Cricetulus griseus: one gene and its partner. The protein of the gene in region 1 interacts with the protein of each later gene in a pairwise test. Links are inferred from orthologs where the notes say so. Each region holds a gene or a part of one and is shown on either strand. Other genes may lie near its edges. The genes, in order: Rgl2 and Rap1b.

What was found.
Region 2: the proteins of Rgl2 (region 1) and Rap1b interact in a two-hybrid assay, tested with the Homo sapiens proteins (2 studies listed by BioGRID and IntAct). The link is inferred for Cricetulus griseus from reciprocal best matches to the Homo sapiens genes RGL2 and RAP1B.

What each region holds. Positions count from the first base shown.
Region 1 is NW_023276806.1:232,082,882-232,087,146, forward strand, and holds the start of Rgl2 (ral guanine nucleotide dissociation stimulator-like 2), read right to left. Parts: upstream 2,968-4,265; coding exon 2,962-2,967; intron 2,777-2,961; coding exon 1,733-2,776; intron 631-1,732; coding exon 547-630; intron 281-546; coding exon 102-280; intron 1-101. Other genes in the region: Tapbp (tapasin), read right to left, coding at 3,749-3,760. UniProt on the Homo sapiens protein: Probable guanine nucleotide exchange factor. Putative effector of Ras and/or Rap. Associates with the GTP-bound form of Rap 1A and H-Ras in vitro.
Region 2 is NW_023276806.1:138,558,002-138,561,808, reverse strand, and holds part of Rap1b (ras-related protein Rap-1b), read right to left. Parts: intron 3,031-3,807; coding exon 2,890-3,030; intron 2,219-2,889; coding exon 2,075-2,218; intron 1,252-2,074; coding exon 1,165-1,251; 3' UTR 1,135-1,164; intron 450-1,134; 3' UTR 1-449. UniProt on the Homo sapiens protein: GTP-binding protein that possesses intrinsic GTPase activity. Contributes to the polarizing activity of KRIT1 and CDH5 in the establishment and maintenance of correct endothelial cell polarity and vascular lumen.

The DNA of each region.
Region 1 (4,265 bases):
TGGGGATGAGGAGAGGGTCTACCTATGCGGCCTTTTCAACCCCCGGGCGCTGTGAGGGCTCACAGGAAGTCCAGGAGGCCCCTCAACCCTTGGTCCCTCACCTGTCAGCCACAAGCCCAAGCAGGGCAGGCGTGGAGGTGAAGGCCCGGTGGGTGGCCAGCAAGGCTGGAGTGAAAGTCACGTCAACCCCTGACGTCCGGGCATCCAACAGGTATCTGACCAGGGCCTCCAGAGTGCCAGCGCGGAGCCGCCGGGAGGAACGAGGCGGGGGCAGGGGGGCCTGGAGAACACGGAGGGTGCTCACTGACCTCAGTCTCACTGCTCCATGTCCAGCATAATCCGGACTTAGCTCTTTTTTTTTTTCTTTCTTTTTCTTTTTTTTTTTTTTTTTTTTTTGCCAAGGTTCAGAAAGGACAGGGTCCATGGCTTAAATCACACCACTCGGGGTCCTAGACTCCAGCCCTCCAGCCTAGTGTTCTGGCCAAAAAGAGAGAAAAAAAAGCCAAAGAAAGGGTCAGAGGTGAGAAGTCAAAATCATGATCTCACCAAGGGATCAAGAGGCCGATACTGGCGGCTTGTGACAGTAAAGGTGGCACCATCCTCCTCCTCATCCCACACAGACACAGGAGCCTGGAGGAGCAAGCAAGAGGAAGTCAGGCCCACAGCACCTCAGTCCCCGGTCCCCAGCCACTGTTCCCCAGGCCCTGCTCCTCCCTTTGTACCCCTCACCTGTGATGGCAGGGGACAATACCAGCGAGTACGAGGGGTAGAGGGTGCTGGTGACCCCAGGTCTACCCCCCACTGGGGCTCAGACAGCCCCCCAACCGCCTCAGAGCTCGGTGGGGCAGAGGAGGCTGCAGGCTCACGCCCAAATCCCCTTCCCCCCACAGCTGAGCCCAACACGGCCGAAAAGGCAGGGCGCCAGGAGAGGCACAAAGCCAAAGGCAGGAGAGACCTGAAGCAGGGAGAAGCCGAAACTTCACACGCCCGTCACAGGCCGTCACATGCCCCGCCCTCCCTGACTGAACCAGAGGAGCCCAAAGCGAGTCTTCTCCATAGACCGACTGACTGACTCCCTTTCCCCAGTCTCCCGAACGCCAGTGCGGCGTCCACTAGATCCCAGCACCGGGACCCTCTGGAGGCGGCGGCTCGGATCCCAGGCACAAGAAGGGGAAGTGAGGATGGCGGTGGGGCAGCGACAGACTCAGAGTCATGTGGCCCTAGCCCCTCCCCCGACCAATCCCGAAAAACCAGCCTTGCGGGTCACCTAACTTCACCCGTGCGGGGACCCAGGCCGGAGTCGGTCCGGGGCCTCCTGGGCTCCGAGTCTGACTTCCAGACCCTCGCGGGGCCCCCAGCCCTGCTGCTGGCCACGACGGCTGTCCCTAAGGACGGAGGTGACCGCTGTCCCGCTAGGCCGGGACCGTCTCTCCAGGTGTGCCACCCGAGGCTCGCTGCCCGCACTCGCGCACTGGGGGCGGGGGAAGGGGCGGCGAAACCTGAGGTTTCCCTCCCGAATCCTAGAGGCCGAGGCGCTGGTTACCATGGAAACAAACCCCTCCCCGCCAAACAAGCCGGGGGTGGGGTGGGTGGGGTGGGTGGGGACGGGAGGCAGCGCTCAGACGGAGGCAGGCGCCGGCCGAGCCCCGCAGGCGAGCGGCCGTCCCGGGCCACACGGACCGACAGGGAGGGGAGCGCCTCGGACACCCCGCCACCCGCGCGTCCTCCTCACCTCTGCGTCCTCCTCCTCCTCCTCCTCCTCCTCCTGCCCCCCGCCCTCGGCCCGGCCACCGGGGTCCCCACCCTCTTCGGGGTCCCGACTCCGGAAGCCGCTCAGCACGACTCCCCGGGGGGGCTCGTGTCCAGAAGCAGCCGCAGGGGCCGCGGAGCATGGCCGGGTGCAGCGGGCGAGCGGGCGAGCGGGCGGGCGGGCGGCGGGCGAGCCGCGCGGGCTCAGGCCATGGGGGCGCCGGCGGAGACGCGGGCGGCGGGCGGGCGGGTGGGGCCGGGCGGCCGGGGCCCCGCGGCGGGGTCGGGGGGGGAAGCCGAGGTCCGGCCCGGGGTCGGGGTCGGGGTCGGCGGGTGCTCCGCTCTGGCCTGCTCGGGAGGGGCGAGCGAGCGGCTGGCGGTCCCGGGGCTGCGCTCCCGCCGGGCTCTCCGGGCCTCCGCCTTTCCGCTTCCCCCGCCCGCCGCCCGCCCGCCCGCCCGCCCGCCGGCCGGCCGGAGCCAGGAAGGGAAGGAAGTGAGGGCGGGAGCCAGGGCGGCCGCCGCGGGCAGTGCGGGCAGTGCGGGCCGGACCCCGCCCAACCCGCCGTCCCCGCGACCCGACCCGGGGACTCGGGAGCCCGCGCACCGCAGCGCAGACGCGCGGGACACCGGGGCCCTGACGCAGGCCCCGCGGGAGGGCGAGCGCGGAGCTGCCAATCTCTAACGACAGCGCGCCCGGGTGGGGGGCCCGGTCCCCGCGGGCGACACTGCCCACCCGGCTCCGAGTGCACCCCAGCGAGTCCGCCCCGGGTTTTCCGGGCCGCCCTTGGGCCCGCCCGCCCTCGGGACGGGGCCGGAAGCCGGCCGGAGAGGCGCCCGCGGCGGCGTTTCCGTCGCCCGGGTTCCGCTCTGGTCCGTCGCCCCCCGAGTCCGGGTCTCTCGGTGCGCGCGCAGTTCCTGCGGTGCCGGTGTCGCCCCGGCATGGGGGGATCGGGGAGACCGGGGAAAGGCGGGGCCGGGAGGCGACCCAGAGGCTCGCTGTGCTCGCAAAGACGGCGGGACGAGAGACCTGCTTGGAAACTTTATTGGCACACGAACAGACAGGTGCCCCCCCGGGAGGGGGGGGACGGGGACTCCGGGACCGTCGTGAGCCGCCCCAGAGCCCCCAGCACAGCACGATGACACTGTGACCTCTCGTGCTACGACCCTCTAATGCAGTTTCTCATTTTGTAGTGAGCACAACCACCAAATTACTTTCATTGCTACTTAATAATTGTAATTTTGCTGTTTTGAATTCTAATGTTTCATAACATCTGATGTTTCCGATGGTTTTACAGGGGTCGTGACCTACGGGTTAAGAACCGCTGCTCTAGATTTTACAGTGGCGCTTCTTAACCCCGTGGCTCTGAGCGACTGCATAGTGTGTATATTATAAATATATATATATATCGTAAATATATATATTTATATATGTATACTTTTTAGTTTTTCAAGACAGGGTTTCTCTGTAGCTTCAGAGCCTGCCCTGGAACTCACTCTGGAGACCAGGCTGGTCTCAAACACAGAAATCCGCCTGCCTCTGCCTCCAGAGTGTGGCTGTCTGGCTTTTTTTTTTTTTTTTTTTTTTTTAGTTTCAATAGCTGTAGCCCACATAACAAAAACTCTCTGGGCTTCTTGGTCATTTTTAACATGTATCAGGACCCAAAAGTTTGAGAACCACTGCCCTAGAATCTTAAGAATGCTAGATGTATGCTTAAACAAAAAAATTAACAATCATCGAGGCACAGTGGCCAATGCCTTTGGGTTACTCCAGGGAGGCAGAGGCAGGCGGATCTCTGGGACTTCGAGGCTGGCCTGGTTGGTTTGGTGAGGCCCAAGCCAGCCAGGGCTAAAACAAGAAAACAACAACAAAAGTAAGACATAGAAAACCCCAGCCACTGGATGGAAGGAGAAGACGACTTGAAGGGATGACGTTTAGGGGAGGAGCTCCTGGAGTCGTTTGGGGCAAAACTGAGAGTGGCGTCCACTGATCTGAGTTTCTTTACTGTGACTTCTGCAAGAGAAGAAAGAAGTGGAGAATTTGAATTTAGGCGTAGAGTGAGTTCCTCCTGGTTAATCTAGAAACATCCTCATGGTGCTGGCATTTCCCACCTGCCAGACACAGTGTTGAGTATTCTACAAGAGAGGGGCCATCTTCTCAAAGGCCCTTTGGGTCATCTGAGGTCAAGCAGACTCTACTCCTGGGCTGCACTCTGAGCTTTGGAATTTCTTACATTGTTTACATGTTTAAATACTCTGGGTATGTAATATTCAAGCCTTAATGCAGGCTGCACAATGGTCCCCCTGGCCATTGTTCTTTCACAATTTGAGAGTTTTCCTCCACGACGGTCCCTTTACTTTGATGGTACCCTACTTCACTCTGCAATAAATTCTGATTGTCTTCTGCACTTAAAAACTTATGCTGGTCAGATGGCTCAGCAGGAGGTCAATTGCAGGAGGCTGATGTGGGATTCCACAAGGTTGTAGAGAAAACTGGTTCCAGAGCTACCCTCTGACAT
Region 2 (3,807 bases), about 94 Mb from region 1:
AAAAAAAAAATTACAATAAGCTACAATAAGTATCAAAGAAGCGAAGTTATCTGGAGTAGTCTATATAGGAGCTCTTTGGACTTTCTTTTATTATGCTAAAATAGTGGTGCTTTTAGGATTTACATTACTGTACTCTCCAATACAAAGTATGGGGTGTGTTAAAGTATACAGTACACCGTTTTCATACATGTACAACATTGGTGGATGAAGAATGTCTCTTAGCAGTAATACTGGATGTAGCCTCTGGTCTGACCAGCTGCATTCTCTAGAACTATTATATAAGTAAAAATCTCTCGTGACACTGGACAGTAATCAGAATGTGCAAACTGATAGAGTAGCTTTCATCCGCCTCTTAAGGGAACCACCACAGGAAAGTCCGTTTAAGATGTTGGTAGGTTTAACAAAGTTGGAATGCTGGCACTGTTGAATAGGGCAACAGTTCTTCAGACCTGTGGAAGGGAAAGAAATAAACACTGAAATGGTACAACAAATAACATAAGGAAACAGCCAAAGTCTCTTGTTCTAATCATTGCATTAATGACAGCTAAGATATAATTACTTTCCAAATTTTAAAAATAAAAAGAAATTGGAGGTTGAAGAGGCAGCTTAATGATAACGAGCTGAGCCCTGGCTGCTCTTCCAGAGGACCCTGGTTCCATTCCTTGTACCTCTCACCTCAATGCTTCCGATTCGGGCAGACTTTTCCTAAACTCTCAGTTAACATACCACTTTGGGGCCCCGATCATGTGCCATAACAGCACGGCAGAAACCATGGACTCAGAAGCTAGACAATCTACTGAAATTCTGGCTTGGAATTGCTCATAATTCTGGAGTTAAATACAGAGTGCCTGTTTTGTGCCCAGGCTCCTCATCTGTCATGTCTTCCTCAAAGGCTTGTTTTGGAGTGTCTGCCCTGCTGGGGTGAGCAGAGGGACCACTAGTGTAAGTTGCCATGACACACAGGTTTTAAAACTGTCTCTCTTCCGTTATATCTCAATTTATCTTGCTTCTGATGAGAGCTAAATGAAATCTATAGTTTTACTTTCCAGGATTATCACAACAAGGCATGACATCATTTGCTTGCTTTTACGGCAGTCTTTGGAATAAAGTAGGCATAAGAGGAATGTCACATACCTGGCTCAGAGCTACAATGCACCCAGGACATTAAAGCAGCTGACATGATGACTTTTTGCGGGCCTTCCCAGGCACTGGAGTTTTTCTGTTAATTTGCCGCACTAGGTCATAAAAGATCTGCAAATAAATTATTAGTTAGAAGGAGCTGCAGAATTTTATTCAATTCAGTTAGATCTCTCCTGTCCTACAGAGAGGGGGGGGAGGAAAGAGAGAGAGAGCCCCTTTACTGTTTGAGATCTTTCTGTATGCCTTCACTCTACATGGCTTCACCCCCTTCAAGAACCGTGCATGTTTTTCTGAGTTTGAGCTTTTTCCCTCAAATACTCAATGAAATGAATGTTTTCCCACGCTGGCCCTCCTCTGCCCAACTTTCCTTTAACAGTAATTTCACTGTATAAGCACCACAAAGAAGATGAAATATTGTTACTTATTTACATGCATACACACAGTAAGATTGTTTTCTGCCTATAAGAGCACCTATTAACTAGGCATTCTAGTACAGTACTTTCCCATTAATTGAACAGTCTTTAGGATTTTTATTATTTTTATGTGTGTGTCCTCATGAATTCATTAGGCATGCAGAGTTCCAGAGAAGTCACAAGAGGGTGTTGGAGTCTTAGGAACAAGATGGTTAGCTGGGCGGTGGTGGCGTACGCCTTTAATACCAACACTCGGGAGGCAGAGGCAAGCAGATCTCTGAGTTCGAGGCCAGCCTGGTCTACAGAGTTCCAGGATAGCCTCCAAAGCCACAGAGAAACCCTGTCTTGAAAAACAAAACAAGAGTTCCAGATGGTTATAGTTGCCAGGTAGGGGCTGGGAACTGCACCAGGGTTCTCTAACAGTAAGATCTCTCAAAGGCTTAGCCACCTCTCCAGCTGCTTCCCATTAATTTAAAATGTTATATTCAATATAAAAAGCTTCTCAATACATGTGAACATACCTCATTAACATTTATTTTTGATTTTGCAGAGGACTCTAAGAATGCACAGTTGTTCCATTGTCTTGCTAGGTTTTGACCTTGTTCCTTCCCTACAACTCTTTCATCTTCCAAGTCACATTTATTACCAACCAGAATCATTGGAACCTGCAAAGACATTGGTGAGGGTAAAAACAAACAGTTACAAACAATAAAGATCAAGCTATAAACCACTTACAAAAGAGGGAAAAATTATACCACAAAGGACTTAATCACAGTGATCAAAACAACCTTTTAAAAAGGAAGTACAAAGGGTGTTGCCATGAAAAGCCAGCAGATTTCAACACTTTAAAATGTTCAAGGGTGTGAATCAACTTCACGTTTTTTTTTTTGTTGTTGTTTTTTTTTTTTTTTTTTCCTGGTTTCTGAGACATTTAATGAATTGCAAATACAAAAAGGAGAAATTAAGGAGGCCCCAAAAGCAGAAACTTCAGCTTCTCACGGTCTCAGCTTGAACCGCTCACTTTCTGTATGACATGATGAAATACAGCAACTTCGTAAAATTTATTAACGGCATCACGTTTAGATATATCCCATGTTTGTAATTTTAAAAAAGCAGCCCACGGAAAGTAACGCTTATTTTACCAAACCACCAAGGGCCATTTAAAAATCAGCTTCTAAAGTACTTTTGGGAGGTGGAAAAAAATCCAAACAAGGAAAACAAGAATCTAGGCTTTTAAAAGAAATTTAAAAATCTTTTATAAATACTTTAACACAATGGATAGAAAACCAGACCCTCACAAATTCTCATCTACAGAATTGTAGAAAATGATGCTTACATCATCAGTGTCTTTAACCCGAAGAATCTGCTCTCTCAGATCTTGTAAATCATTAAATGTAGACTGTGCTGTGATGGAGTAAACCAAAGCAAAGCCCTGCCCATTCTTCATGTACAAATCTCTCATTGCTGTAAATTGTTCCTACAGTAGAAAGATTAAAAAACAAGAATGTGTTTTGATACAAAAGCAGACCATTTTTAAAACCCACACTTAACAGCTTAAAGAATACTGTAGTATTATATAACAGTTCTTCAAATGATAAGATTATAGTAAGATACCGTCTGAAAATTACATTGTAAGAAAGTTCTTTAAAAATGACGCCACAGCTTTATATACAACACATGCTCAATTGGAACAGACACTATGTTTCTTTTTTCTTTAAAGATTTTATTCATTTATTTATTATGCACACAGCCTTCTGCCTGCATGCCAGCAAAAGGCACCAGATCTCATTCAAGGTGGTTGTGAGCCACCACGTGGTTGCTGAGAATTGAACTCAGGACCTCTGGAAGAACAGTCAGTACTCTTAACTGCTGAGCTATCTCTCCAGCCCCCTGGACACTATGTTTCTAAAGGCAACTTTTTCTATTTTTGTTTTTTTGAGACAAGGTTTCTCTGTACAGTCTTGTCTGTCCTGCTTTGTAGACCAGGGTGCCTCTACCTCCCAAGTGTTGGGATTAAAGGTGTGTGCAACCACAGTCCAGCATTAAAAGCAACTTTTTAACCTATCATAAAGTGTTGAGCACTAGTCTTATTCTCAAGGTACAGTAGACCATAAAGCAGACATTCTGTGGGGAAGTGTGCATTCACACCTGTATCTTACCATTTTTCTACACTTCTTCACTAGGGTGTGGGTACCTGTGGGGAAGAATAGTGTCTGGCATATTTTGGTTTTTCAAACATTGGCTGATGTCTACT